Linked DNA regions of Macaca mulatta. The protein of the gene in region 1 interacts with the protein of each later gene in a pairwise test. Links are inferred from orthologs where the notes say so. Each region holds a gene or a part of one and is shown in the gene's direction. Other genes may lie near its edges. The genes, in order: RGS2, WDR74, PRKN, GIT1, MTUS2, CTSB and NIPSNAP1.

Region 1 (4,020 bases):
GCTAGTTCTGGTAATATTGTACGAAATCAACTCATTTTGTGGTTGAGGTAATCTATTTGTTTTTACCAATCAAGTCGTTTTAAAACCTTCAGGAGTAGAGATGATACTTGAAGAATTAACAAAAAACTTAATGAAGGAAACTGTTAACTCCTCCTTCCCCCTACTTTTTGCCAGTTATTAAAAGTTCTGGTAAATCCTAACTCAAAACAAGAATGACTCATGAGGAAATCCTGACTCCTTGAACTCATGATTCTAGTGCATTACAGCTCTGAAATATCTGTGTCTCCAGCTTTCTCTCCCACCATAAGGAAACTTGTGATTTCCATTTTGGCAGATGTGACCAAGGGCTCCTGAGGAATGACCCTATAGACAGACCCAGCCACTTGCCTAGTAGTGATCAAAAATGCAAATCCAATTAAAGCACTGTCTTCTGATAAAGTCACCTTCTCTTGTTCAATCCCTAATGTTCATTCCCAACGTGTTTCAAGACGCCCCAGCAAGCTGCAGAGCAGGTCCCACCCTGCCCCCGGGCAGTCAACGTTTCAGGTTACACCTTCCTTAAATTAAGTGGCAGAGAGAAACGGGGGAGGGTCTCCCCGTAGCCTCAGTTCATTGACCAGGGTGTGTCGAATGAGTCCCTACAGTAGGACAGCAAACAAGAAATGAGGCGCGGGGTCAGGGAACGCGCTCAAAAAAAGAAGAAAAATCCCACTCTTCATTCAAAATCAGGCCACTGAACTCCGGCCTCGCGGCGGGCGACCTCCTCCTGCCAGGGAATCGCCGCTCTGGCCTGGGGCTGGGGAGCCCGTCAGGGTGGGTGGGTGAGGGAGCGACGTAGCCTCCGCCAGGCCGCAGCCAACTTCGGCTCTCTCCCTCCGCCGCAAGCCCCCGCCTGGCCACCACGCTTCAGCAAAAGGTCGTGGGCAACAGCCCACACTGAAAAGTCCCTGTCTGCTCGCACGCCGGCCCCAGCTGGCCGCTGCTATGTAGTCCGAGTGCGCAAGAAGCCCGGGCCGCAGACGTCAGCAGCGCCCTGGCTTCCAGACCCTTCGGCGTTAACCGAGACTGCCGCTGGCGGGCGCTGACCCCCATCCCAGTGCCCGTTTGCAACCAACCAATCCGCGTCCTCTTGAGGCGGGGCCGGAGCCGCGAAGCCCCGCCCCCAAGTCGCGGCTTCTTATAAAAGCTGCGACGCACGCCCAGCAGCCAACAGCCGCGGCCCCAGCGGGAGGACGATAATGCAAAGTGCTATGTTCTTGGCTGTTCAACACGACTGCAGACCTATGGACACTAGCGCTGGCAGCGGCCACAAGAGCGAGGAGAAGCGGGAAAAGATGAAACGGACCCTGTGAGTATGGCTTTCTTCCCTCTCCCGCCACCCCTGCCACACACTGCGAGCTGCAAACGCGGTACTTTGGGCTCGGCTTTGATGTTAGGAAACTAGCCCGAGCCTCTGCAGGGGAAAAAAAAAATCGAAAAGGTCAGTTTGTTAAGGTTAAATCTGGGTGATGCTCGGGTAGAGTTTAGGAACCGAGGGAGATAGTTGATATGAGGGCCGTGGTGGATGCGCTAAGAAATTGCGGGTTGGCTTTTTGTCCTCCTGCATTCAAAATGACATCAGAATCCTGCGGCTGAAGCGCGTCCCCAGCATGCATACGTTGCATGATGAGTTCTCATCAGCTTACACAGCTCCTGGAAGGAGATGCTCTTGCTGGTTGTGAATATACTCGTTTAAAATCCATTTTTGTTTTTTAATTATAGAGCAGATCTCACCCAGTCATGAATGTGGAACAAATAATTGTTCTGCAGCGTCTGCTTAAAAGAAGTGTTGTAGGTGGGGAAGGAAGAGCGCAGGGGAATCAGTCACCCACCTCCTTGTACACTGTCTCTGGCATGCTCCAGAACCTCTTGCTCTAAAGAGAGAAGCGTGGGCCGGCTCCAGACAGTTCCACGTCTGTCCTTTTCATTAAATTGTAAAACCCCTCGGAATTGTAATTAACCTTGCAAACAAACTGATGCCCTTTGTGAGCCAGAAATAGTATCTGCCTTTTGAACTAAATTCATTAACAATTCTTTAAAATACCCTAGTGATTGTAGGTAGCCCTGCCCTTAGTTGTAAAACTAGTAGATACGATCAGTTTAATGGATGAAACTGCTCAGTACATGAGGTTTAAATGTTAAGTGGATAAGACTGTTATTTGAAGAGTTCTTGCTTTGCCTTATGCGGTTTGTCTCTAGTTACTGGGTGACTTTATTTGGTAAAAATGCGTTCAGCTGCAGTAGCATATTCAAGTGTTGCTACTTAGTGATTATCTTTTTTAAATTTTTTTGTTTGTTTTAGTTTAAAAGATTGGAAGACCCGTTTGAGCTACTTCTTGCAAAATTCCTCTACTCCTGGGAAACCCAAAACCGGCAAAAAAAGCAAACAACAAGCTTTCATCAAGTAAGTTGAGAATCCTGTACTTGCAAATGTTAATAGTTAGTTGCTGAACTGAAAAGGGGAACTCTGATGTGCATAAGCTAACATGCAGAACCTCTCTTGCAGACCTTCTCCTGAGGAAGCACAGCTGTGGTCAGAAGCATTTGACGAGCTGCTAGCTAGCAAATGTAAGTTAACTCTTGAACTTTAGCCATTGCTAATATTGCAAAAGCCTGCAAAGGCTGGGTCCACACAACAAAAGAGCAGCTTGCCTGAGGGGGATTAGACTGCAGTCACTATTGGATAAAGCCTGTTTTTCTCTCCTTTATTTCCCAGGGTTTAACCATGGAAATAAATGCATGTATTTCCTCCAGGTGGGGAAGAAAATCAGCCTAAAAAAATTAAAGTGGCAGTTGCTTATAGTTAAGGTTGAGTCAGTTTTTCCATTGCATACAATGTTTTCAAGAGGCTTAGTTCCCAGAGAATTTATGTCTCCCCTATAAATATTTACTTTGCATTGACAGCAAAGTACTTATATTTTTGCAGCAGAGGGCCAACATAAGCATTTTGCCTACTGGTATCTTCGTCTTTAAAAAGCTAAATTTTGAGAATTACAGGTTTAAGCGAAATCTAGAAAATTGCTGTCATTTAGAAATAATTAAAATGTGAGGGAGAAGTACTAGGAGAAACATAAAGAATCATTTGGTCACTCGGTTCTTCACATTCTGCATGCTTTCTTTTCTCCCCCCTTCAGATGGTCTTGCTGCATTCAGGGCTTTTTTAAAGTCGGAATTCTGTGAAGAAAATATTGAATTCTGGCTGGCCTGTGAAGACTTCAAAAAAACCAAATCACCCCAAAAATTGTCCTCAAAAGCAAGGAAAATATATACTGATTTTATAGAAAAGGAAGCTCCAAAAGAGGTAAGGAAACAAGTTCCTAAACTGAGCACAATCTGGACATTTTTAGCACAAAAGTGAAACAAAATAAGGGCAAAGTGGGGCTAGAAGGAGGGGTAAAAAGTCCCCCCATGTTGTAGCTTTCAGTTATGTTAAAGTTCTTCTGTGACTTAGGTAGTAAAGCTAATCACACATAATTTTTATTTTTTGTTTTCAAATACTAAATTTTAATCTTTAACTCTGAACACCAAATAAACAACTTTTTTGTTTTATTTCAGATAAACATAGATTTTCAAACCAAAACTCTGATTGCCCAGAATATACAAGAAGCTACAAGTGGCTGCTTCACAACTGCCCAGAAAAGGGTATACAGCTTGATGGAGAACAACTCTTATCCCCGTTTCTTGGAGTCAGAATTCTACCAGGACTTGTGTAAAAAGCCTCAAATCACCACAGAGCCTCATGCTACATGAAATGTAAAAGGGAGCCCAGAAATGGAGGACATTTCATTCTTTTTCCTAAGGGGAAAGACTGACCTGCCATAAAGACTGACCTTGAATTCAGCCTGGGTGTTCAGGAAACATCGCTCAGAACTATTGATTCAAAGCTGGGTAGTGAATCAGGAAGCCAGTAACTGACTAGGAGAAGCTGGTATCAGAACAGCTTCCCTCACTGTGTACAGAACGCAAGAAGGGAATAGGTGG
Region 2 (2,578 bases), on another chromosome or scaffold:
GAATAGGAAGTACCATAGTCGCTTTCTTTGCTGCGTCTACTGCAAGAATGAAGACGATTCTCAGCAATCAGACTGTCGACATTCCAGAAAATGTCGACATTACTCTGAAGGGACGCACAGTTATCGTGAAGGGCCCCAGAGGAACCCTGCGGAGGGACTTCAATCACATCAATGTAGAACTCAGTCTTCTTGGAAAGAAAAAAAAGAGGCTTCGGGTTGACAAATGGTGGGGTAACAGAAAGGAACTGGCTACCGTTCGGACTATTTGTAGTCATGTACAGAACATGATCAAGGGTGTTACACTGGGTTTCCGTTACAAGATGAGGTCTGTATATGCTCACTTCCCCATCAACGTCATTATCCAGGAGAATGCGTCTCTTGTTGAAATCCGAAATTTCTTGGGTGAAAAATACATCCGCAGGGTTCGGATGAGACCAGGGGTTGCTTGTTCAGTATCTCAAGCCCAGAAAGATGAATTAATCCTTGAAGGAAATGACATTGAACTTGTTTCAAATTCAGCGGCTTTGATTCAGCAAGCCACAACAGTTAAAAACAAGGATATCAGGAAATTTTTGGATGGTATCTATGTCTCTGAAAAAGGAACTGTTCAGCAGGCTGATAAATAAGATCTAAGAGTTATTCAGCTACAGAAAGAAGATGCCAGATGACTCCTAAGACCTACTTGTGATATTTTAATGATGCAATAAAAGACCTGTTGATTTGGGGGGAGAAAAAAAAAAAGAAGTACCATAGTCAGCACTGGGAACCTGTAGGAGTATGGAGGATAGATTGGAGACAGCAACTGGGAGACTTTTGTCACAGCTCAGGCAAGTCGAAACAGAGCCTGAACCCAGCTGGGGAGGGTTGGCAGGCATGAGAAAGAACATAGGCGCAGGCTGTGCAGATCCTGGGGAGAGACTTGCTTGGACTTCTTGAGATACTTTAAGCAAGAGACTGACATTTAGTGCCTGAAACCCAGAGCAAGGAACATAAGAAGCTGGTGTTTGACTTTGACCAAACCCTAAATTCAGACCAGTCCCATTTCAATCCTTTTAGAACTGCTGATCCTGAGCCCTAGTAGGCAACTCAAGATTCAGATAGACCAGCACGGCCAGGTAGACCAGTACGGCCAGGCGCTAGACACAGCTGTGAACAGCAAAAGCACTCCGGAATATTACAGAGTGGATTTCCAGCTGTGGTTGTAACATAGCTGAGTGGCAGATTAGCTTCTCAGCACTTCTGTTTCCTCACTTGGTAAACTCTCACCCTGTTGAATAAGTTGAATTAACAGTTGAATAAGTTGAATTAGGAAGCTGGAAGCTGTCAGGCTCTGCCTAGAGCCTAGTGACCTAGAGGCTTTCTTCTAAACTGGACTGTTAGTAGGGAATCGGGTTGATATGAGTTTGGGGCCTAGGAATACTTTTGTACTTTTTTGTTTGTTTGTTTTTAAACATTGTCAAGTCTAGTAGTGAGAAGGAGAGAAAGATTAGAACAAGGAGTTTAAGCACTTAAAACATCCCAACTCTGTCCTTTCTCTGCAGCACCCTCATCACATGTGTGGATTCTGGGATTCTCAGAGTCTGGCACGACAATGACAAGAACACATCCTCTGACCCAGTGAGGCTTCCCTGCCCTGATGGTTGGGGGAGGAGGGCTGGGGTAGGTGCCTAATGATTGTGTTGGGGAAGGGAGGATTAAGAACTCTGGAACGAACTCTTATCTCCCATTCTTTTTAGCTCCTGGAACTGAGAGTGGGCCCTGGGGTGTGTAGGATGCGCCAAGACCCAGCACACCCCCATGTGGTTGCCACAGGTGGGAAAGAGAATGCTTTGAAGATGTGGGACCTGCAGGGCTCTGAGGAACCTGTGTTCAGGGCCAAGAACGTGAGTGACAAGAGTGTGAAGGAGCTGTTCCTGAAGTTGAGGGAGGCTATGGCCACTGACTATGTGTCAGAGACTAGATGGGCTTTAGGGGGCGAAGGAGGGCTGAAAGGAGGAGCACATCAAGCCCCCCACAGCCCTGTTCCCCATCTGCCCACCCCACCAGGTGCGGAATGACTGGCTGGACCTGCGGGTTCCCATCTGGGACCAGGACATACAGTTTCTCCCAGGATCACAGAAGCTTGTCACCTGCACAGGGTACCACCAGGTAAGGTGTCATCTCACCCCTACCTTCTCCTGGGATAAAGCAGCCTTCTGAAGAAATGGCCCCCACGGTTTGGCACAACTGCCTTTCTCACCATTCTGAGCTCAAAGGAGCAAGCGCGTCCCCATCCGTTCCAACCCTGTCCCTGAGCCCATGACTGTCCTCTGCTGCATTCTAGGGTGGAGTTTCCTGAACTGTGCTGTTTTCCTCCCACCTGGAAGAGAGGAAAGGACAGTGGATTCCCTTCACTGTGGGAGTTATAGGGTGCAGGTGTCAGAGGACATTGGGCTAGGGGTTAAGAGAACTGGGTTCTGGTCCTGATGCAGCCTCTCTGATTTGCTTTGGGACTGAGGCCTGAGCCTCCCATCTCTGGCCTCAGCTCCTCAGCTTTACATGAAGGCCCCAAATGAGAAATCTTTATGGCTGTCTCATT
Region 3 (3,500 bases), on another chromosome or scaffold:
GAAACACGGCGGGAGGCTGTGAGCGGGAGCCCCAGAGCTTGACTCGGGTGGACCTCAGCAGCTCAGTCCTCCCAGGAGACTCTGTGGGACTGGCTGTCATTCTGCACACTGACAGCAGGAATGACTCACCACCAGCTGGCAGTCCAGGTAATTGGAATGCCCTAAGAGTATTAGAGCATTCTGTTTGTTTGTTTAGTGCAGTCTCCATGGAGCATGGCCTCACCAGGTGCATATTTAGTGTCGATACGTTTTGGATTTGAGTCTGTAATTCACTCCAAGGAGACATCACTGTAGGTGGAGTACTTTGATGTAAAATTTGAGAATGCATTTATTATAAGTACTATGAAACAGGTTTTCACATTGAGATTAAATAGAAGAGATATGTTTCTAGTGATGTAGAAAAATTCTAAAAAGTAGAAAGATTTTGAAAGCTAATCGAGCCATTTGTAGTTTCTCAAGCCACATATTCCAATGGCAATGACATCCTTAGTGTGAAAGGATTCTTCCTTCTCTGTTCTACCACCCATTTCAAAATGCTTTTCTTTGGAAAAGATGGTTATTGTTTAGTTATTTTTAAAATATTAATATGTGTCTCTTAGTCTTTTATTCTCTAAATAGTCAAAGGTGTAATAGAATTAATTTTTACTGTGTCTGACAGAATACACAAAATAATCACAATGACTTTACAGGGTAGAAGTTGATTTTCCTCCCACATACAATAGATCCTGGCAGTTGTGGGCTGGTATGGCCTTCACAGTGTCAGAAAGTTCTGGGACCTGCAAGATGGAAGCCTGACGTAATAAGAAATGCCTCCCACTAAAATTACTAAATAAAATTTAAGGAATTAAAAATTTTCAATGAGCTTGCAAAAAATAAAAAAAAAGATAATTTTCAAGGACAAGTGAAAATGTAGAAGCAACATCTTTAAATACAGGAGTAGATAAACCCAGAAAGTAAGGCATTAGCTGATGCTCTGGTGATCTTGAGATGACTGTGGGAGGGAAAGAGGCTCTGCTTCATGTGAGCTGGGCACCTCAGGTCTGGAAAGAAAAACTGAGAAATGGAAACAAATGTCAAAAATGGGGAAAAATGAAATAAATCTAAACCCCTGCAATGCCCTTGTGATCCAGGATATGATAAATTAATATAAATATCAAACCCAAGCTCCTCACAATTCTGATGTTTCAACCAGAGTATGTAGAAGATCATTCTGACATTGACACCTCTAGAGAAAAACAAGCCCTACTAAAGGATACTCAGTGCTCCAACATTATAAACCAAACAAGGGAAAATTCCACCTTGAGGGTGTATGAGACCAGAATATACCACCCCAAAATATGCCATGTTAGCATAAGTATTATTTTGAGCTGATTATTTTGAGAAACAGTAGACATAGGACAAGCTCTAAAAACAGAGCGGAAGTCACCCTTTTGTAAGGGAAATTTATATCTACCAAGGAAATCTCCATTTGTAAGGGTGTCTCCCTCTCCTTACTAGGATGAGAAGGACAGAGTCTCTGGAGACTCTGATTCTTGAGAAGCCACCAACTTAATAATCTGCGTAACAAACCTTACTCTTGTCTTCTCCTCTCCCTTTCTTCCTTTGCCGTAGAAGATAGTATCCAAGCCTGAATTTTAGACCACCTCTTTGAGATTTATGCATTTTTTCTGGATGTCTAACATGTACGGTCATCCCTCCCCATCAATAGGCAATATGTTTCAAGTCCCCCAATGTAGGGCTGAAACCAAAAGTGGTACCAACTGTGTAACAGATTGGATTTATTATGTTAGTAGACCTATCTACTAGTTCTTTGATTTCCCAAAATAAAATTCTTACTAAAAATAAAAAAATCACATTGTTTAGAACAAAATTAAACCTTTACCTATTACTGAATATTAAAAACAATTTTAGCACAATAATCATATTCTGTACATATTCACATTCGTTAATCCATTTCCTAGTGCATCTGTCTCTACTATCTTATCAAACATATTTATCTGACTCTTCTTATTTTGTTTTATCATAAAATTGTCCTTGGTCTTCTCCAGAATTTTCTTTTATGAGAATGAACTTAGAATTATTGACATTTTCAATTGACTTTTTTTGTCTTTCTCTCTAGACCATAATTTTTTGTTAAGAAAATATAGTATTCTCTCTATATAGGGTCTGAAGTACCAGTAGGCACTGAGAAAATTCTGCTAAATGTATAATATTCTCTTTATTTTTAAATTGAAATGTGTAATTATTTCCACCCAAACAATAGACAATAAATTCTAGTAAATGTGTGGAATGCGGTAAATGACAGCAGCTTTCAGAGTACTGTGTGGCCTATGATGACATGCTGTTTCACCTTTACTTTCCACCCATGTCTGAGTCACATCTTACCTCTGATCACCATGTTTCTCATTTACCCCTCTGTCTTGTGGTCTGCCAGCTTTGTGCATTTTGCAGGCTAGGGACTGGCTTAGGCAACTCTACATGGTGCAGCTGGGGGCTGCAGGGGTGCCCTCCTAATACACTTCTCCCTGCACCACTACAGACTGGGGGTGACTTCCTGGTACCCTACATACTGCTACTGAAAGGCCTCTGTGTAGTTATATTGCATCTGTAAAGGATTGGGAAAAGAGACATGGCTTATCCCAGGTCAACTTTCAGATTTAACTCTGTGTTAAACTAACAACTAAACTACAAGTAATCCTCTCCTACTCATTAGAACCGGAAGGAATCCTTTTCAGAACCCTTAGGACTCTCCCTTGTTACTTGCTAGTTTGTACTCCAGTTCCGACTTCGCCTTTGAATCTCTTTGAGGATGGAGTTTTTGTCCAGTTAACTGTAGTTTTCCTCAAAATCTCTTAGAAGAGTGGTGAGACATGTTTACTAAATTCCTTAAAATTGTAAACATAGTAAGTCATTCATCAGAATTCCTGTGCATTTAGCTTTTAGAACGAATGCTTTATTTAAGATTATACAGAGAAAATGAGACTTCATCTCTTCAAATGTCTTGGTTCATTCTTGGTTTGAGTTACGACTTTGGAATGATTTGAAATGACTATATGCAAACAGTATGCCTATATGATTATTTTTCTTCACTAAAAATTATAGCGTAAAGTTACTAGAGCAGAGAGTCACAGACTGCCATGTGCAGAATTATCTTGCATGCTTTTCCATGTTTCTTTGATGGCCAGAATGGCAAGAAAAAAAATAAATCTTATTTCATTACTTTTCTGTGACCAGAAATTCTGATGTATTTGTCTGGGGGTAGAGGCCGCAAAATGTTGCTACTGATTACACTCTGAGAAACTCTGCCCTATCGCTACGATTTTCCAGTCTTACAATTATGGATCCTACGTGTTGTTCTCATGCAACAATCGGATGCTGGGTGGGAGAACAGAGGCAGGTTGGTGAGAGGTGAACACACCGAGCCAACCACAGAAGCCTGAGACAATTCCTGTCTACGTACTTCACATATTAAACACATACAACATCTGTCGTTTGGAAAG
Region 4 (4,181 bases), on another chromosome or scaffold:
GGGGCGGCAGGTAGTACTCCTCCCTACATAGCAGCTAGGTATCGTTGCTTGCAAAAGCCCCACCAGCTGAGCGGCTGGCTGTCTGGGGAGGGGAGGCCTGAAAGATTTTTTTAAGGTGCAATTATAAATAAAGCCCATGGATCGCGATTTCAAACAAACTTGTCAATCCGGGCCGCAGCAAAAGGCGATGGAGGCAGCTTTGCATGTATTTCGGGTGGTGTGACTCATGAGAATTACTTGTCTCCCCTAGGGAAGGAGCCTGCCCACCCACAAGTCACTGCCGCTCTGGCACCGCTGGGATAAATCGACCAACTTGAGCACCCCTGCCAAAGGACTGCCCCCATCTGTTACCGAGCAGGAGTCTCTGACTTCGATAACCCCTCCTCAATTGTCACCACTGACCTGGCCCCCAGGTCTGGCCCTGGGGACCTCTGCCCTCTCCCCACAAGCAGAGTGCCCGGGCCTTTTGCTGCTGCAGGGATTGGGGGTTGGGTGCACGCGCGGCACACGTGTATGGGGGAGCATGCTCAGTGCGGGGGCTGTGCTCATGTGAGGCCTCCAACTAGGCTCCCTGCCCCCCAGCCCACCCACGTCCCTCACCTGCCTTGCCTTTGCCTGCCTCTTCGTGTGAAGTCCAGGAAGAAAGGCTGTCACCTGAAACGGCCCCTCTGTGTTATATGCACCCTTTCTGGACGCACACACCTCTGGTGGCCCAGAAACACCGTGTGTATAAGGCGGATGACAAGTGGATTTGAGTGCACACAGGCACAGTGGTCACTCCTTGGGAGGTCTTTAAAAACCGCCCAGATTCCTCTCTGGATGGAAGCATGCATGGAGAGATAGATATATTTTTAGTCCAGAGGCAGGGGAATACACTGCCTGACCTTTCTAGCACCTGGGCGTCCATATTGTTGGCAATGAGCGTATTCAGCAAGAGTGTGACACACGCACACACACCTGGACACACAGATGTGGACACCTACAGGACCGGGAGGCACACCTCACCCCAACCAGAGATAGAAGGGTACCCCAAGGCACAGCCCCTTTGACCTGGAGCGGGACTTGGGCCTCCAAGTCCTTCCTGCCTAATCCCCGCCCTCGCCATCCCTGGGCCCAGCGTCCCCCGGGCCACCCCACGCGGAAAGTGAAGGGGAGGGGGCTGTGAGGGTGACTCACATTGCCTCCGGGCCAGGCGAGCGCCGCAGCGGAGGCCAGGACCGCAGGCCCCGCTGCCCGCCGGGGCCGGGCATTAGCCGCGGCCCCTTTAAGCGCCCCCGCCCCCTCCCGCCCGCGCCCGGGCTTCCTTTCTCCAGGGGGCGCGGCCGGGAGCGCGCGGCGGGGCGGGGGTGCGGCCCCTCCCCTGGTGGGCAGGGCCTGCGCCGCTTCCTGCAGGAGCGGCCCGGAGCCGCGCAGGGGGCGGAGAGAGGAGTCGCGAGCGGCGGCGGGGCGGCGTGGGGCGGAGGGCGCCCGAGGGCGAGCGGGCAGGCGGGCACGGCGGGTTCCGGGCCAGCCCCGGGGCGGACGGTTGGCCGGGCGCGCGGAGCCTCGCCGGGGCCTCGCCGGAGCCGGGCCGGGCAGCAGGGGCCGCCGCCGCCGCCCGGGCCCGCCGCCCGCGCCCCCCACGCTGGCCCAGAGGGCTGCGGCCGCGTCGCCGCTGAGGATGTCCCGAAAGGGGCCGCGAGCGGAGGTGTGTGCGGACTGCAGCGCCCCGGGTAAGCGCGGCGGGGCCGGGGGCGGGACCGCACAGCCAGGCCGCCGCCGGGCGGGCGCCGGGGCCTGGCGAGAGCGCCGTGCGGGGCCGGAGGGCTGGGCTGGGCTGGGCTGGGCGGGGCGGGGGGCTGCGGCCTCCGGGCTCGGCCCCCGCCCCGGCCACTGCGGAGCCGCGTCCTTGGCGGGAGGGCTGTCCTGGGGGGCCCATGCTCCCTGGAGGCGGTGGACGAGCGAGGAAGGACGTTCCCGGCGCTGCCTCCCGCCCCTCGGTCTGAGGGAGGCGGGCAGCTGGCTGCCCCTCCACCTCCATCTCTATCCGACGGAAGCGCCAGCCTGGGGTGGCAGGAGGGCAGTGGCGGAGGCCGGCAGGGCTTGGGAGGTGGGGGCGAGTGTGGTTTTGTGTCATCTCAGTGCCACCCCCGCGTCTTGCACCTGCTGCTCGCGTGGTCGGCACGCCTGCCGGGGTGGTGGAGGGCAAGGAGCAGAGGGCCGGGCAGATGCGCCAGCGGGGCCTGGATACCGTCTCCTCAGGAGCAGATGAGCAGTGGCTACTCCCAGGACTCCCTGCCGCGGGTTCCTAAGGCTAGCGCTTTTTTGCGGGGCCTGGCGTTCAGGGCCAGTTCAGACCCGGGTGTCTTATCGGGAGGCATCACCAGGCCTGCTGGTGGTGACTGGGAACAGCTCGGCTGGACCCTGCTGTTCCTATTCACCGTAAGGCCCGCTTGGGAAAGTGAGCTTGGCATCAAGCTATCCTGGGCCCCGGCCCCTCCCTGTCCCCTAGCCCAGTCTGGCGAGAAATGGGTGGGAGGCAATGCCTAGATTCCCCGCATCCTGCTGGCTTCCTAGCCTGCCTCCTGGCTGTATTTACATGGTGGTTCTCTTCTTTTTCCTAACAGAGTCAGGACTGGGCTGGAGTGAAACCCCCCAGGCCTGCTGAGGAAGTCAGGGGTAATGATCCAAGAGTCTGCTCCCTTCTGATGGGGGAGGACAGCCAGTGACTGGGCTCTGCAGCTGGCCTGGGAAGGAAGCTCTAGCCCCCATCCATTCTTTCTTTAGAAAAGGAGCTATCTCCCTAGTAGGCCCCTGGGCAGGCTTCGGAGGTCTGTGAACTCTAGCGGGGCTGTGGGCATTATTAAGAGTGAGATTATGGGGTGCTGGTTTGTGGGTCCATAACTTTCAGCCACCCCTTGAGCAAGCCCAGGACCCCACAGGTTGAGCCTCACAGATGCTCTGGTGGTTCTGGGGGTGGTGCCAAGCTAGACGGTTTGGGAACTGTGACCCAGCAGGGCTTGGGCACAAGATACTCTCCTCCTTGGGGCTTTTGGTTTAGAGGGCCCTGGGGTTGAGGGTCCATACCCCTAAGAAACTATGACTCCCTTCCCCCAGCTGCAGGCAGGTCTGGGGATGGCAGGGCTGAGGACACACCTTGCCTTATAAATGTCTGCCCACTGTTCCGCACCTCCATGGGGTGAGCATGGCATGCATGTGGAGGAGAGGCTTAGCAGGCACCCTATCGGGGAAGCCTGGGGCATAGTGTTGCCTTTGTTCCCAGCTTACTCTGTAACCCCAAAAAGACTTTCCTCACTGTGGGGGCCTCAGTTTCCTCAATTAGGAGGCAAAGAAATTGGAGTAGAAATGGTTTCTGGGGGGGCTGTGATCTGATTCTGGGGTGGAGGGGTGAAGGGCAGCACCAGCAAGGCAGCAAGGCAGTTGTCCTTTCTCTGTTGCATTGAATGTCATCCAAAGCCTCTGGATGCCCAGTGGGCTCAGGGAGGAATGGTGGGCATCAGATGTGTTGGATTGCCCAGCTCCTACTCCTAGGTCCTCATCCGTCAGAGGAATTTGTGCCCCAGATGACTCTTTTCCCCTGATACACAATAGAGGTCAGGAAGATGGTGAGAAGGTGAGGATGGTGGGGTGGGGAGGATATGGACAGTCTTACACATCAGCCCACCTAGCACCCAGCGAAGTGTCCAGCACATGGCAGGCGCTCCCTGAGTGTCTGGCTTCTTGTCGGGACCCTGGCTGGCTGCTTGGGACTATCCCACACCTGGACCCTAGGATGCTGGCCCTGGCATGCAGCGACGTGTTTGGTCTGGGTCCTGTGGCATCTCAGGCAGAGAGGCATGAGGGTACCCAGCAGTCTGGAGTCCAGATCCAGTGCCAGCCCCATGGTGTATCGCTCCACCCCAGGGTCACAGCTTTCTTTTATTGTGATAGGAGCCCTGCAGTCCCAGCCACAGGAGTGGGGCCAGGGACTTTTTGTGCTTGGTTAATTTGAGGAGTCATGGAGGTCAGAGGTGAGATGCAGCCTGCCCCCAGAGAGCCCCATCCTCCCTCTGCTCCCGGGCCTGGGCACCCGGGACAAGTGCGAGTGTGTTGGTAGGCAACTGGACATGGCGTGGCTGCTCTGGCAGCTTGTGCCACCTCGTCAGGCACCGTGTGCATTCCTGCCTGCCTGGGGCGTCCAA
Region 5 (3,500 bases), on another chromosome or scaffold:
CTGGGTCGCCCTGGTCCTTGTTCTCCCTGATGGCATCATGGCCTCCTCCCTTTGTCCTGCACCCATTGTCGTGACCTCAGGTTCGGTGTCCACTAGCATGATTGCTACTTGTTTTGTCACTGTGCCCGTGCAGACAACTGTCGGAGGAAAACGCTAACCTCCAGGAGTATGTTGAGAAGGAAACCCAGGAGAAGAAGAGATTGAGCCGAACCAACGAAGAGCTGCTTTGGAAGCTCCAAACTGGGGACCCAACCAGCCCGATTAAACTCTCGCCCACATCTCCCGTTTACCGCGGCTCCTCCTCGGGGCCCTCCTCTCCGGCCAGAGTCAGCACAACACCCAGATGACGCCACTGCGCGGCCTGCGGGAGCTCCGGCTTCTCGTCCTCCAGTCTCCACCCCGAGGGAGCACCGAGCCGGTGCCGCCGGAGCTGGCCCTGTGCGCATGCTCAGTAGCTGCGAATGCATCCTAGGCGCGTCCTCCTCTGATCCCCGTGTAAGACTGCCCTGGTGTCAGCACTTAGGAACATGTAAATGGTAAAGTCTGATGTGCAAACGTTTTACCATAGTTAGAGCCAAAAGAAAGACACTTGCAATTGTTCTTGAGCAATGAACTTTCACTGCAGAATTTCAGGTTACAAAAAGCTCAGTTTTCAATATACATTGAATAATCATTGTGTACTGCACCGATATGTGTGTATATTTAGATATACGTATATACACATGCTGCGGTTCTCAATTTCATTTTTTATAATATGAAGTGCTGACATATTTTAGTGACGGTCAGCAGTTTTCTAACTTGTGCCTAAGAATTATTGGGAAATGAAAATGCATTTCTATCTAGCTTCCCAGGAATATTTCTACCCAAAATAGAAAAAGGAAAAAAAAATAAAAAAGATACAGAGAAGAAGCGCCTTTCAACTCACCACCAAGTGGTGCTCTCTTTAACACGAACACCAGCTATTTGTGAACGGTAACTGCCTTTGGAACAATCAGCTTCTTAGTCAACATGATGTGAGATCACTATTATTCCATTCGCAAGTTTTCATTATCGAGACTCCTGTCATGAGCGGCTGAGGGAGAGCAGTGGGAAACCCGAAGGGGGTTTAACAGTTCTGCAGACGTTTCTCATGACAGTGACTCATCTCTAACAGTCTTGTAAACACAGTTTTGCTTTTTTCCTAAATGGCATCTCAGACTCGGTCATTAAGCTATTGTTGCACAATCCGGAAAACAGGTTGCACCCTCCGGAAAACCTTTGAGAGAGAGTGAGGATGACCCTGGAGATGACAGCGCCCATTCGCGCTCCATCCTCATGAAGGAACTTGCTGCTAGGGTCTGTATTTTGATCAGGCACAGAGGGGGACGGCACTCCAGCTTGCCATGTGGTTCACTCTGACGCGATGCCGTAAATGATCAACTCGTTGAAATAGGACCCTCAGGCCCCCATTTCATAGCAGCCCCCACTTCAGTTTGGTTCTACAACTCAGCCCCTTCAGTGCACACTGAGATGGCTCAGGGGTTCTGGCAGGGGCTTCCAGAAAAACACACCGTTTCTATCCCTGGGGAACCAGTTCTGAGCTGTGCTAGATCATCACACGACCACCCAGAAACCCACTTCCACCTCCTGCTGGATGATCAGCCAACGCTGCTGCTGACCGTGCGCCCATCTTAGACCCAGAAGGTTCTCCCAAACAGAGGAGCCCAGTGAAACAGCCAGCCAGGGGCCACCAGCTCCTGGACTGGCATCTGTCTCTAAAATGGTAGAATTAGGATATGAACAGTACTCATGTAGTGGTGCGGAAGATTAGGAGCATGATACACAAAAGAAAGAAGTAGTTTTAACATATATGGTGATGATGATGATGCGCTTGTTTCCTGTATGCGACAAAGACCCTGCACTTTCTCCCTGAGGCCCCCCAAAATTGTCCTGAGCACAGGCCTGTCTTTGAGTGTGCCCAAGGCGAGAAGAACCATGAGGGGATCCTGCAGGGGCCAGAGCCATGGAGCGGGGAAGAAACAGCCAGCGGACGGAGTCGGCTTGCCCAGGGCGCGCCTACGCGGCACACGTGTGGCCAACATGAAGGCAGACATGGTCCCTGGCCCTAGCCTGAGTCCAAGCTGAGCTTCCGGGCCTCGGGTACATCTCCAGCAAACCTCCAAAGGTCTTGCTCCTTCTGGGGACATACACAGTAAATCCACATGGAAGTGCCACCATTTCTCTTTGCTTTAGTGGCTCTGCATGATACTGTGATACTGAGTTGGGCATTCCATTAGAGTAGATCATGCCACATTGACTAAGTACACAATCATTTATTCTTGTAGCAGGCACAACCTGCAAACACACATTCGGTTCAGCTTAGCTGCCCGAATTAGGAACCGCTTACATAGCCGCACCTGCTAAACGCAGTTACACAGCAATACCGACTTCCGTGTGATGCTAGAACGTGGTACAGTGTGTTAGGCTGCTGTGGTCAGAGCTGTAGCATTGTTAGCACTAAGTAATTCCTCATTAGGTGGACTTTGGTGAGAGCTTTACCCTAACCCACCCTGACCTTGGGTACTTGAGCTAATTTCCACATGGCCCTGGCTTCGTGTTTTTTTTTTTTTTTTTTTTTTTTTTTTGCTTTTTCTTTCGTTATGGACACCCATCGTGTATGGCTCCTCATCTGAGCCATCACTGCTCCAGAAACACATGGGGCAGCAGCTGCTGTGCCTCCTCCCCGATTCTTCCACCCCCCACACCATCAGAATTCAGATTTCTCTCCACGTGGTGTCTGCCTCTGTCCCTTTCCAGGCTGGAGCGACATTTCCATGTTCAGATGCTGCAGCCTCTGCACCTGCCTCAGACAGACCCACCAGGTACCACCTGTCTTTTTGTGGCATTTGGGGGATGCATGGGCGGCCTGCCCCCCACCCCCGCCCCTGCCCGTCACATGCTGGGACAAGGTTCTGGCTGGATGTTAGAACGGATGGGGGTGGGGACAGCCCTGGCAGTGATTGGTTGAATGAATGGGGTCACAACATCCCTTTTCCCGCCCCTACAGTTTGTGTTGCATATTTGTGTTTAACTCTAAAGCCTATTAAAATAAACTTGAGGGACTTTCTGCGATACCTACTTGATTTAACTGGAGTCCTGTCCCTCTCAGGCTGGGGATTCCAGGCAGGGAGGCAAGGTGGGGGGTGGCATTTGCAGGCTGGACCCCTTTTCTGTGTGTGCTGGGATTGGGTGATCGTCCATGCGAGAAGTCTAGAGACCCCCTCTCCCCTGACTCAGCAGGTCTCAGGTCCCTGCGCCCACCCTTCCAGCCTGGGGGCTTGAGCAGCCCCTCCCCTGGACGTGGGAGCGCAGTGCCTCTGCTCTGCAAGGCTGGGGTGTGCTGGAGTTGGCTGGAAAGAGAACACAAAAGGTCATTCATTCATTTCAACCTGAAAGTGCTTGCTCCCCCCATCCCGATGGCCTTCAGTTTGGGCTGCAGCTGGTTTCGCCAGCTGGACCTC
Region 6 (4,259 bases), on another chromosome or scaffold:
AGGGTGAGCAGGCAGTTGGGACCACCTTGACCTCCAGCCTTCTGGTCCTCAGTTCCTTGGGTATCCCACTCCGCTGGGGGCTTAGTGACCATGTTTGGGCTCCAGAGATTATTTTTTCCTTCCACTCCTATCCTTAGTTTGGTACTAACCAGGCGGGAATACAGGTATGACTCTGAAGACCCTGGCAGGCTCAGGGCTGTGTGACAGCTGACGACCGGGCTGCAGGGAGCCACGTCCCTTGGAGTCCTACTGCCTTTTTACTGTCGCCACAGCCTGGATAAAATACGATGATTCTTCTGAACTTCTTTTTTTTTTTTTTTTTTTTTTAAGGCAGGGTTTCACTCTTGTTGCCCAGGCTGGAGTGCAATGGCAAGATCTCGGGTCACCACAACCTCCGCCTCCCGGGTTCAAGTGATTCTCCTGCCTCAGCCTTCCGCGCCACCACGCCCGGCTAATTTTGTATTTTTAGTAGAGCCGGAGTTTCTCCATGTTGGTCAGGCTGGTCTTGAACTCCCAACCTCAGGTGATCCGCCCGCCTCGGCCTCCCAAAGTGCTGGGATTACAGGCGTGAGCCACCGCGCCCAGCCTCTTTGAGCCTCTTGAATACAGGGGTCATGCCTGCCTTGCAGGTTTGTCTTTAGGATTAGAGCTGTTTGGGGAGGGTCTGGAGGAGGGTGTCTTGAGCCAACCCCAGCATCTCCCCTCCAGGCCCTCCCGCTAATAAACCCCAAGTAAATGTTCACTTTGTCAGTCCTCTCGGAGCAGGTCTCCCGGGACTCCTGTGCCAAGCCGATTTCCGCCCCCCAAGGTCCTTCTCCTCCTCTGTAGAAATCCTGACGCAGCTCCTAGGTTCCTTCGCGGTGACAGCCACCCTTTTCTATTTGTACGTAGCTGGAGTGTTTTGTGGGTACGTTCTCAGAACAACAAAGTGGAGCGTTTAAAGACTGTTCTGTAGGGTCCACAGCCTCGCCACCCCCAGCCCCTGCAGCGGCTTCTGATGAATGAAATAAGCGACGGCGCCCTCTCCCCCACCCCGCCCCCGCCAACCCGGCAGGCAGGGATCCCCGGCGCCGGTTCTGGCGGAAGCGGTCCCGCGAGGCGGGGGGACTTTTCTAGGTGGGGTGGGGGCTCTGGGACCACCTTTCGGGGCTTTTTCCCCATCCCCTGGCCCCAATTCGCAGCGTTTCGCCACCCAGGGCCCGCAGGGCTCCAAGCCCCTCTTCCCCAACCCGGGCGCTCAGGCCCCCGCCCTCCCCGGCGGTGTCCCCGGACCCCCGGCGGAAGGGGTGGGGGGGTGCGGGGCCGGGAAGAGGGGAGCGCGGGCGGCGGAAGGTGGCGGGAGGAGGTGGGGGCTGGGAAGCGGGGTGCGCGGGCAGCGGGAGGGCACGGGCGGGGCTGCGCGGTAGTCACGTGGCGCAGGACCGGGAGGGTACTTAGGGCCGGGGCTGGCCCAGGCTACGGCGGCTGCAGGGCTCCGGCAACGGCACCGGCTCCGCGGCGCGCAGGCTGGGCTGCAGACTCTCGGCGGCAGCGTTCGGTGAGTGCCGGGGGCGCGGGGTCACCGCGGCGGAAGTGACCTTGGCGGGGACGGTGCCACCGGCCGCCGAGACGGGTTCTTCTGCGTCCCCGGTCGGGCCTAGGCGCGGCCCCGCGGCGTTCCTGGGGGCAGGTGGGGAGCCAGGACCCTCGGGACTGACCCTGACGGGCGGGCTGGGGTGGGAGCCCGCGCACTCCGAAGCGTCGACAAGAAAAGCAGAAAACAGCCCCGCCGGCCCGCCCGCCAGCCCCCTCCCCTCTGCTCCCCTCCCCGGCCTGTGCGCGGGACCCCGGCCCCCGGAGCGGGGACGCGGCCAGGAGCCCCGAGGGAGGCGCCTGCGAGGAAGAGCTCGGCTAGGTCCGGAGGCTGCTGCCTGGGGTCGCGCTCCCAGCGCCTGGGCCTCGGTGTCCCCGGGACAAACTGCCGAGATTATCGCATCTGCCGGCATCTATTTTCGGTTTATTTCCCCCTCGTTCCAAAGGATTTGCCTGGCCAACTTTCTGCGCAAGATCCCACACAATTCCTGGGACCCCAGAAGACAGGTCCTGTTGAACAGGGATCTGGCACTGGGTGGGCTGGGGAGGAACCCGCACGGAGTTAAATCCATAAACAGGAAGAGAAACCAAGCTGCGAAACCAAGAGGCGAATGGGCGATTGGATGCCGGGTGGGGAGAAGGCCAGGGACGCTCCCTGCCCCTGGACTCCAGTAAAGGGAAGCCGGGCAGAGTTCCTGGGGCCCTACCTCCCCCTCGGTTAGTAGCCCTGGAGGCCGGGGGGAGTTGGCCTCTGGGGAGCAGTAGGTGCCTGGGTGTGGGGCGCTGCAGGCAGGCTGGGGTGGGTGACCCAGCTGGAAGTGAATTGCACTTGGCTTCTTGGTGGGCCTCTGTCACCCCCTTCCCCAGGCATCGAGGAAGCCAGCAGGCTGGCAAGGAAAAGGATCCTAGCGCAGGCCCTACACCCCTCCTCCTAACGGAGGAGAGACCCCCAAACCCACTGGAGAAGCGATGCTGTGGGGCTCAAAGGCAGACCTGGCACGTTTTTGTAGCCTAGAAAAACTGATCCCCACTGCCTCCCGCCGGAGGAGAGGATAGCTGAGATGCACCCTCTTTCAGTCCAAACGTTCAGGAAGGTAAGGCGAAGAGGCCTAAGAGGGCGTTGGCTTGGTTAAGGGCTGCTCTTTCTCTTCCATAACATCGGTTCTTTTTTTTTTTTTTTTTTTTTTTTTTTTTTGAGATGGAGTCTCGCTCGGTCTCCCAGGCTGGAGTGCACTGCCGCAATCTCGGCTCACTGTAACTTCCGCCTCCCAGATTCAAGCTATTCTCCTGCCTCAGCCTCCCGAGTAGCTGGGATTACAGGTGCCTGCCACCACACCCAGCTAATTTTTGCATTTTTAGTAGAGATGAGTTTTAACCATGTTGACCAGGCAGATCTCGAACTCCTGACCTCAGGTGACCTGCCTGCCGCGGCCTCCCCATGAGTCACCATGCCTGGCCTGGCGGAGAACTGTTTCTTCTTGGTGATGGTGACTTAGAACCCGCCAGCTCCTGGAGAAAGGGGCTGGGCTGCCCACCCTGTGTGGCCTTCCCAAAGACAGAGTCAGACGTCTCCTGGAGAGCAGAGGCTTCTCCTCCTTTTTGGTCATTTGTCCCGGAGCTGGGGTATCCCCTGGTGGAAAGGCACAGGTCTCTTGGCCCAGGTGGCAACGCAGACCAGACACGGCCCTGGCACAGCTCTCGCCCCAACAGCTCTCCTGGATGTTGGCTCAGGACAGCCCTGTTGTCAACTGGTCAGGCGGCGAGGGGTGGCAGCCCTTTGGCTCCAGGTTGAAGCGGCCCATGTGGTGCTGATTTAGCAGTTTGGTGAGGCTCTTCTCCTGGGCAGCTTCTTTTCTTTCCCTAGCTGCTGGACCTGGGAGTTGGAAGATAAGTTGCACCCATTTTAGGGGTAACAGATATTTTCTGTTGCTCTTGGTTGGATTGGGAAATGAAGGGAGATCACGTTTCAGGGGGGCCTTGGGATGTCTGTCGGTGATGTTCTCTTTCTTTTTTTTTTTTTTTTTAAGACAGACTTTCCCTCTGTCGCCCAGGCTGGAGTGCAGTGGTGCACCCTCCACCTCCCAGGTTCAAGCAGTTCTCCTGTCTCAGCCTCCCAAGTAGCTGGGATTGCCGGTGCCCATCACCACACCTGGCATTTTAAAAAATTATTTTTAGTAGAGACGGGGTTTCACCATGTTAGCCAGGCTGGTTTTCGAACTCCCACCTCAGGTGATCCGCCTCAGCCTCCCAAAGTGGTAGGATTACAGGTGTGAGCCACCACGCCGGGGTGGGGGTGATTTTCTTAAATCTGTTAATGAGTTATGGTTGTGTAGAATAATATACCTTCCTTTCGAGATATGGACTGAAACATTGAGAGGGAGGAGTTACAGGTATGCCACTTCTTATCCTTTTCTCTTTTTTTTTTTTTTTGAGACAGAGTCTCGCTCTGTCACCCAGGCTGGAGTGCTGTGGCACAATCTCCCAGGTTCAAGCAGTGCTCCTGCCTCAGCCTCCCGAGTAGCTGGGATTACAGGCATGCACCACCATGCCTGGCTAATTTTTGTATTTGTAGTAGAGACAGGGTTTCACCATGTTGGCCAGGCTGGTCTTGAACTCCTGACCTCAAGTGATCCCTGCCTTGGCCTCCCAAAGTGTTGGGATTACAGGCGTGAGCCACTGTGCCCAGC
Region 7 (4,279 bases), on another chromosome or scaffold:
AGGAGATGGTGGAGATAAAGTGTCTGCAGCTGACAGTCTTGTCCCCGTCTTCACTTATAAGGAAGTTTGTTTCTTTGATGATGATAAACCTGGCCTGTGAATGCCCTTCCCCAGAGAATGCACCACACAGGAGCACATAATGTTGTATACAGTTTCAGGGGGCTTACTGATGCAACCCCCTTTGCAGAAATTTTAACAGTGAGAAAATTATGACAGTGAAAGTGATCTGACCTAACTGACTCCATTTTGCTTTTAACCCCCAAACTGTCCTTGTTCATTTCTGGGCATAGGCCTAATTTACAGTCTTTTTGTTTGTTTGTTTGTTTTTTGAGACGGTGTTTCGCTCTTGTTGCCCAGGCTGGAGTGCAGTGGTGCAATCTCGGCTCACTGCAACCTCTGCCTCCAAGAGATTCTCCTGCCTCAGCCTCCCGAGTAACTGGGATTACAGGTGCCCGCCACCATGCCTGGCTAAGTTTTTGTATTTTTAGTAGAGACGAGGTTTCACCCTGTTGGCCAGGCTGGTCTTGAACTCCTGACCTAAACTCCTAACCCACCCGCCTCAGCCTCCCAAAGTGCTGGGATTACAGGCATGAGCCACCATGCCCGGCTACAAATTTATAGTTTAACTTTGAAACAAAGATAATAGCCCTCTCCCAAAATAAACCCCTTTCTTGCCTGGGGACCAGACTGCCTTTGTAAGACTAACAAATTAGCCACGAGATTAGAAATTACGGTTCAGAAGTCATGCAGGTAGTGGCCACAGATTCTAAACCTTCCCAACGGCTCCTAGGGGAGCTACTACTGTAAAACCGAAGATTGGTGCTCAAGATATTTTTCCGATCCTGCACTCAATGGATCCGCAGGCGACACACAGATTAAGAAACCGGATCATCTGGTCTTGTGGCCCCCCACCCAGAGATCCACTTAGCACAAGAGGACAGCTTCCACTCCCTATGATGGCATCTCCGACCTGACCAATCAGCACTCTCCACTTTCTGGCCCCTACCCACCAAATTATCCTTAATAAAACCCAGTCTCCGAATTTTCAGGGAGACTGATTTGAGTAACAATAAAACTCCGGTCTCCCATTCAGTCGGCTCTGTATGAATTAAACTCTTATTGCAATTCCCCTGTCTTGATAAATCGCTCTGTCGGGGAAAAATGAAACGGGCAAAATGAACCCATGGGGAGGTTACATTGACCCTCTGCTGCACATCCCGGACAGCCGTGTTAAGAACCCTTGGTATTATTGTTCCACGCTCCCATTTTACTTAGGTGGATCCTGAGGCCCAGAGTGGACAAAGGGCTTGCCAAGGTCGCAGAGCGCGCAGAGGATTAGAACCCTGACTTCCGTCAAGCACCTGCGGAGTTGGAGACGCCCACGGGCAACGCCCACCTGGCCGGGTGAGTGGAGGGGGCGGGCGAGTCGGAGGGGTGGAGTTTATTCGCGCCCCGCCTCCTTCACCCAGGCTTGGGGGCGGGGCCTTCCTGCAACCTTCGCGGCTCCAACATGGCTCCGCGGCTATGCAGCATCTCTGTGGCGGCGCGGCGGCTGCTGGGGGGCCCGGGGCCCCGCGCTGGGGACGTTGCGGCTGCAGCTGCGGCGCGGTGAGAGCCGGGCCAGGCAGGGACAGAAGCGCGCGGGGTGGGGTGCACGGGCGGGGGCCAGGGACTGGGCCGCGGGGGAGGGGCAGAGACTCCTCTCTTGGAATCTGGGGGTTAGAGGCGGGGCAGGATCAAGGCCTAGGGAAGGGTCTGGGCAAAGAATGGGGGAGGCGAGAAAGGGATGGGTAGGGTCTTTGTCCTGGTTGGGACCGGGCTGTGATGGGGACCTGATGAAAGATGGTGAGAAGGGCAGGTACTGGGCCCTGGAGACTGGGAGAGGGCAGAAGACAGGAGGAGTGGCCCATTCCCAGGCGTAGCTTATGATTTAACACCCACTGGAGGCTTCTGGTAGAGTCAGCTCCTCCGTCGGGAAGTTCGGTGGGAAAGAGATGATGGCAGGGGAGCAGTGGGGGATCCCCAGGGGCCATGGCTGCACAGACCCTTTGTTCCCCCACCTCGAACTGTACAGGTGGGGAAACGGACGGGAGTTGTCCAAGGTCACCCTCCCTGCTGTGCCATGGCATAACCAGATCTGGGACCCAGGCCTGCCAATGCGCCATGCACTTTGCACCCAACTGGTGGCCTCCTGGGAGTGGGAGTCTGGCTGGGCCATGTGCTCTCAGCCTGGGCTTTTGTTTGGGCCCTGCTCTGGGCTGAGCTAGGGATTGGCCTCCCTGACGGTCCCTGAGCAGCCCCTCGCTCCTTGGTCCCCACAGCCCTGTACTTCCCCCATCTGCATATATCACCCTGCACAGTTATGACTTGGTGCTTGTCTGTCTCTCGCTAGACCCTGATCTCATTTTTCTCTGTTTCCCCAGCCTCCCACCCTCAGAGGGCTCAGGACTGTGTATGGTCAAGGAATATTTACCAAAGAAGTGAGGCCACCTGTTCCCCTTCCCCCAACCTGGGAAAAGGAAGCAAGCATCCCTCCTGCCCTGCAGCCCAGGAATGAAGCTGCAAAGTTCTGTTAGAGCCTGCCATGAGATGTTACAGCACAGAGCAGTGGGGCTTTTCAACAGCTGGGAAAGAGGAGTGGCATAAGCCCCCCACCCAGACTGCCCAGTAATTAGGGAGAAAGCTGACACCGTGGGAAGAGCCTAGAGTTTGCCTGGCACTAACAAATTTAACTCGGAATTTCTAGGTGGGGTGACCTCAGGACTCTTTAAGCCTCGGGTTCCTCATCTGTAAAATGGGAGTAATCAGACAGGAAGTATCTCATAGGGTTGTTGAGGACTAAAGATGCCGTGCTTGGTCGGGTATGGTGGCTCACATGTGTAATCGCAGCACTTTGGGAGGCCTAGGCGGGCGGATCACTTGAGGTCAGCAGTTCAAGACCAGCCTGGCAACACTGTGAGATCCTGTTTCTATAAAAAGTACAAAAATGGCCGGGCACGGTGGCTCATGTCTGTAATCCCAGCACTTTGGGAGGCCGAGGGGGGCGGATCACAAGGTGAGGAGATCGAGACCATCCTGGCTAACACGGTGAAACCCCTTCTCTACTAAAAATACAAAAAATTAGCCGGGCGCGGTGGCGGGCGCCTGTAGTCCCAGCTACTCAGGAGGCTGAGGCGGGAGAATGGCGTGAACCCAGGAGGCGGAGCTTGCAATGAGCTGGGATCATGCCACTGCACTCCAGCCTCCAGCCTGGGCGACAAGAGAGAGACTCCATCTCAAAAAAAAAAAAAAAAAAATTCTCCATGTTGGTGAAACCCTGTCTCTACTAAAAATACAAACAATTAGCTGGGCATGATGGCTCACACCTGTAATCCCCGCTACTAGGAAGGCTGAGGCAGGAGAATCAATTGAACCCAGGAGACGGAGGTTGCAGTGAGCCGAGATCGTGCTACTGCACTCCAGCCTGGGTGACAGAGCAAGACTCTGTCTAAAACAAAAAAGATACCGTGGTTGTGAAGTGTCTGGCACTTGACAAACATGCAGCAAGTGTTGCTCCTTGCCCCTAGCCTATGTTACAAGCAATTTCTGCATGAGACCCACATAATATTGAGGCTCAAAGGGCTCTGGGAAGATCATCCTTTATGAGCCCTTTGTTTTCCAGATGAAAACATCAAGGTTGGGGAAGGGACAGAATGGATTGGTGGTAAAACCATTTGTGTGGCAAACACCCAGAGGCCATAAAAGGAGCATGGGTCTTAGAGTCAGCCTGCTGCCCCTCACTTAGTAACCCTGGATGAGTTGCTGAACCTCTGTCAGCCTCAGTTTCCTTTTCTGGAAAGTGGGGATGGTGATCCCTGCTTGGTGTGTTTGGCAGGATTGCTGTGAAGACACTTGGATTAATATTTATCAAGTCCCTCAAGGACCATCTTGCAGTTACTTATGCCTTAATTCCACATTGGATACCTGAGAACACTCTGTCCTGCTGCCCTCAGGCTGCCCCATATCTCTCTGGAGTCACTAGTAGGGCCAGCAGCAGCCCTTCTGGCCTGTGAAGTTTGGGGGCAATGAGGCTGCTGGGGTGGGGATGGAGTGTGGGCTTTTAAATCAAATGGACCTGGGCCAGGCACCGTGGCTCACGCCTATAATCCCAACACTTTGGTAGGCCAGGTGGGAGAATCGCTTGAACCCAGGCGTTTGAGACCAGCCTGGGCAACATGGCAAGATCCTGTCTCTATAAAAAATACAAAAATTTGGCCAGGCACAGTGGCTTACGTCTGTC

What was found.
Region 2: the proteins of RGS2 (region 1) and WDR74 interact in a two-hybrid assay, tested with the Homo sapiens proteins (2 studies listed by BioGRID and IntAct). The link is inferred for Macaca mulatta from reciprocal best matches to the Homo sapiens genes RGS2 and WDR74.
Region 3: the proteins of RGS2 (region 1) and PRKN interact in binary tests that used the Homo sapiens proteins (3 or more experiments, as listed by UniProt). The link is inferred for Macaca mulatta from reciprocal best matches to the Homo sapiens genes RGS2 and PRKN.
Region 4: the proteins of RGS2 (region 1) and GIT1 interact in a two-hybrid assay, tested with the Homo sapiens proteins (2 studies listed by BioGRID and IntAct). The link is inferred for Macaca mulatta from reciprocal best matches to the Homo sapiens genes RGS2 and GIT1.
Region 5: the proteins of RGS2 (region 1) and MTUS2 interact in binary tests that used the Homo sapiens proteins (3 or more experiments, as listed by UniProt). The two-hybrid records come from large-scale screens. The link is inferred for Macaca mulatta from reciprocal best matches to the Homo sapiens genes RGS2 and MTUS2.
Region 6: the proteins of RGS2 (region 1) and CTSB interact in a two-hybrid assay, tested with the Homo sapiens proteins (2 studies listed by BioGRID and IntAct). The link is inferred for Macaca mulatta from reciprocal best matches to the Homo sapiens genes RGS2 and CTSB.
Region 7: the proteins of RGS2 (region 1) and NIPSNAP1 interact in a two-hybrid assay, tested with the Homo sapiens proteins (2 studies listed by BioGRID and IntAct). The link is inferred for Macaca mulatta from reciprocal best matches to the Homo sapiens genes RGS2 and NIPSNAP1.

What each region holds. Positions count from the first base shown.
Region 1 is NC_133406.1:50,335,415-50,339,434, forward strand, and holds the start of RGS2 (regulator of G-protein signaling 2), read left to right. Parts: upstream 1-1,220; 5' UTR 1,221-1,238; coding exon 1,239-1,348; intron 1,349-2,341; coding exon 2,342-2,443; intron 2,444-2,545; coding exon 2,546-2,607; intron 2,608-3,173; coding exon 3,174-3,340; intron 3,341-3,594; coding exon 3,595-3,789; 3' UTR 3,790-4,020. UniProt on the Homo sapiens protein: Regulates G protein-coupled receptor signaling cascades. Inhibits signal transduction by increasing the GTPase activity of G protein alpha subunits, thereby driving them into their inactive GDP-bound form.
Region 2 is NC_133419.1:11,218,826-11,221,403, forward strand, and holds part of WDR74 (WD repeat-containing protein 74), read left to right. Parts: intron 1-21; exon of another isoform or gene 22-680; intron 681-1,541; coding exon 1,542-1,659; intron 1,660-1,736; coding exon 1,737-1,883; intron 1,884-2,046; coding exon 2,047-2,148; intron 2,149-2,578. UniProt on the Homo sapiens protein: Regulatory protein of the MTREX-exosome complex involved in the synthesis of the 60S ribosomal subunit. Participates in an early cleavage of the pre-rRNA processing pathway in cooperation with NVL.
Region 3 is NC_133409.1:9,887,797-9,891,296, forward strand, and holds part of PRKN (E3 ubiquitin-protein ligase parkin), read left to right. Parts: coding exon 1-147; intron 148-3,500. UniProt on the Homo sapiens protein: Functions within a multiprotein E3 ubiquitin ligase complex, catalyzing the covalent attachment of ubiquitin moieties onto substrate proteins. Substrates include SYT11 and VDAC1.
Region 4 is NC_133421.1:38,328,613-38,332,793, reverse strand, and holds the start of GIT1 (ARF GTPase-activating protein GIT1), read left to right. Parts: upstream 1-1,381; 5' UTR 1,382-1,428; exon of another isoform or gene 1,429-1,581; 5' UTR 1,582-1,660; coding exon 1,661-1,712; intron 1,713-4,181. UniProt on the Homo sapiens protein: GTPase-activating protein for ADP ribosylation factor family members, including ARF1.
Region 5 is NC_133422.1:9,399,800-9,403,299, forward strand, and holds the end of MTUS2 (microtubule-associated tumor suppressor candidate 2), read left to right. Parts: intron 1-133; coding exon 134-347; 3' UTR 348-3,111; downstream 3,112-3,500. Other genes in the region: uncharacterized protein LOC114673599, read right to left, coding at 3,119-3,418. UniProt on the Homo sapiens protein: Binds microtubules. Together with MAPRE1 may target the microtubule depolymerase KIF2C to the plus-end of microtubules. May regulate the dynamics of microtubules at their growing distal tip.
Region 6 is NC_133413.1:9,424,750-9,429,008, forward strand, and holds the start of CTSB (cathepsin B), read left to right. Parts: upstream 1-1,459; 5' UTR 1,460-1,537; exon of another isoform or gene 1,538-2,666; intron 2,667-4,259. UniProt on the Homo sapiens protein: Thiol protease which is believed to participate in intracellular degradation and turnover of proteins. Cleaves matrix extracellular phosphoglycoprotein MEPE. Involved in the solubilization of cross-linked TG/thyroglobulin in the thyroid follicle lumen.
Region 7 is NC_133415.1:21,974,806-21,979,084, forward strand, and holds the start of NIPSNAP1 (protein NipSnap homolog 1), read left to right. Parts: upstream 1-1,479; 5' UTR 1,480-1,510; coding exon 1,511-1,608; intron 1,609-2,423; coding exon 2,424-2,480; intron 2,481-3,291; exon of another isoform or gene 3,292-4,279.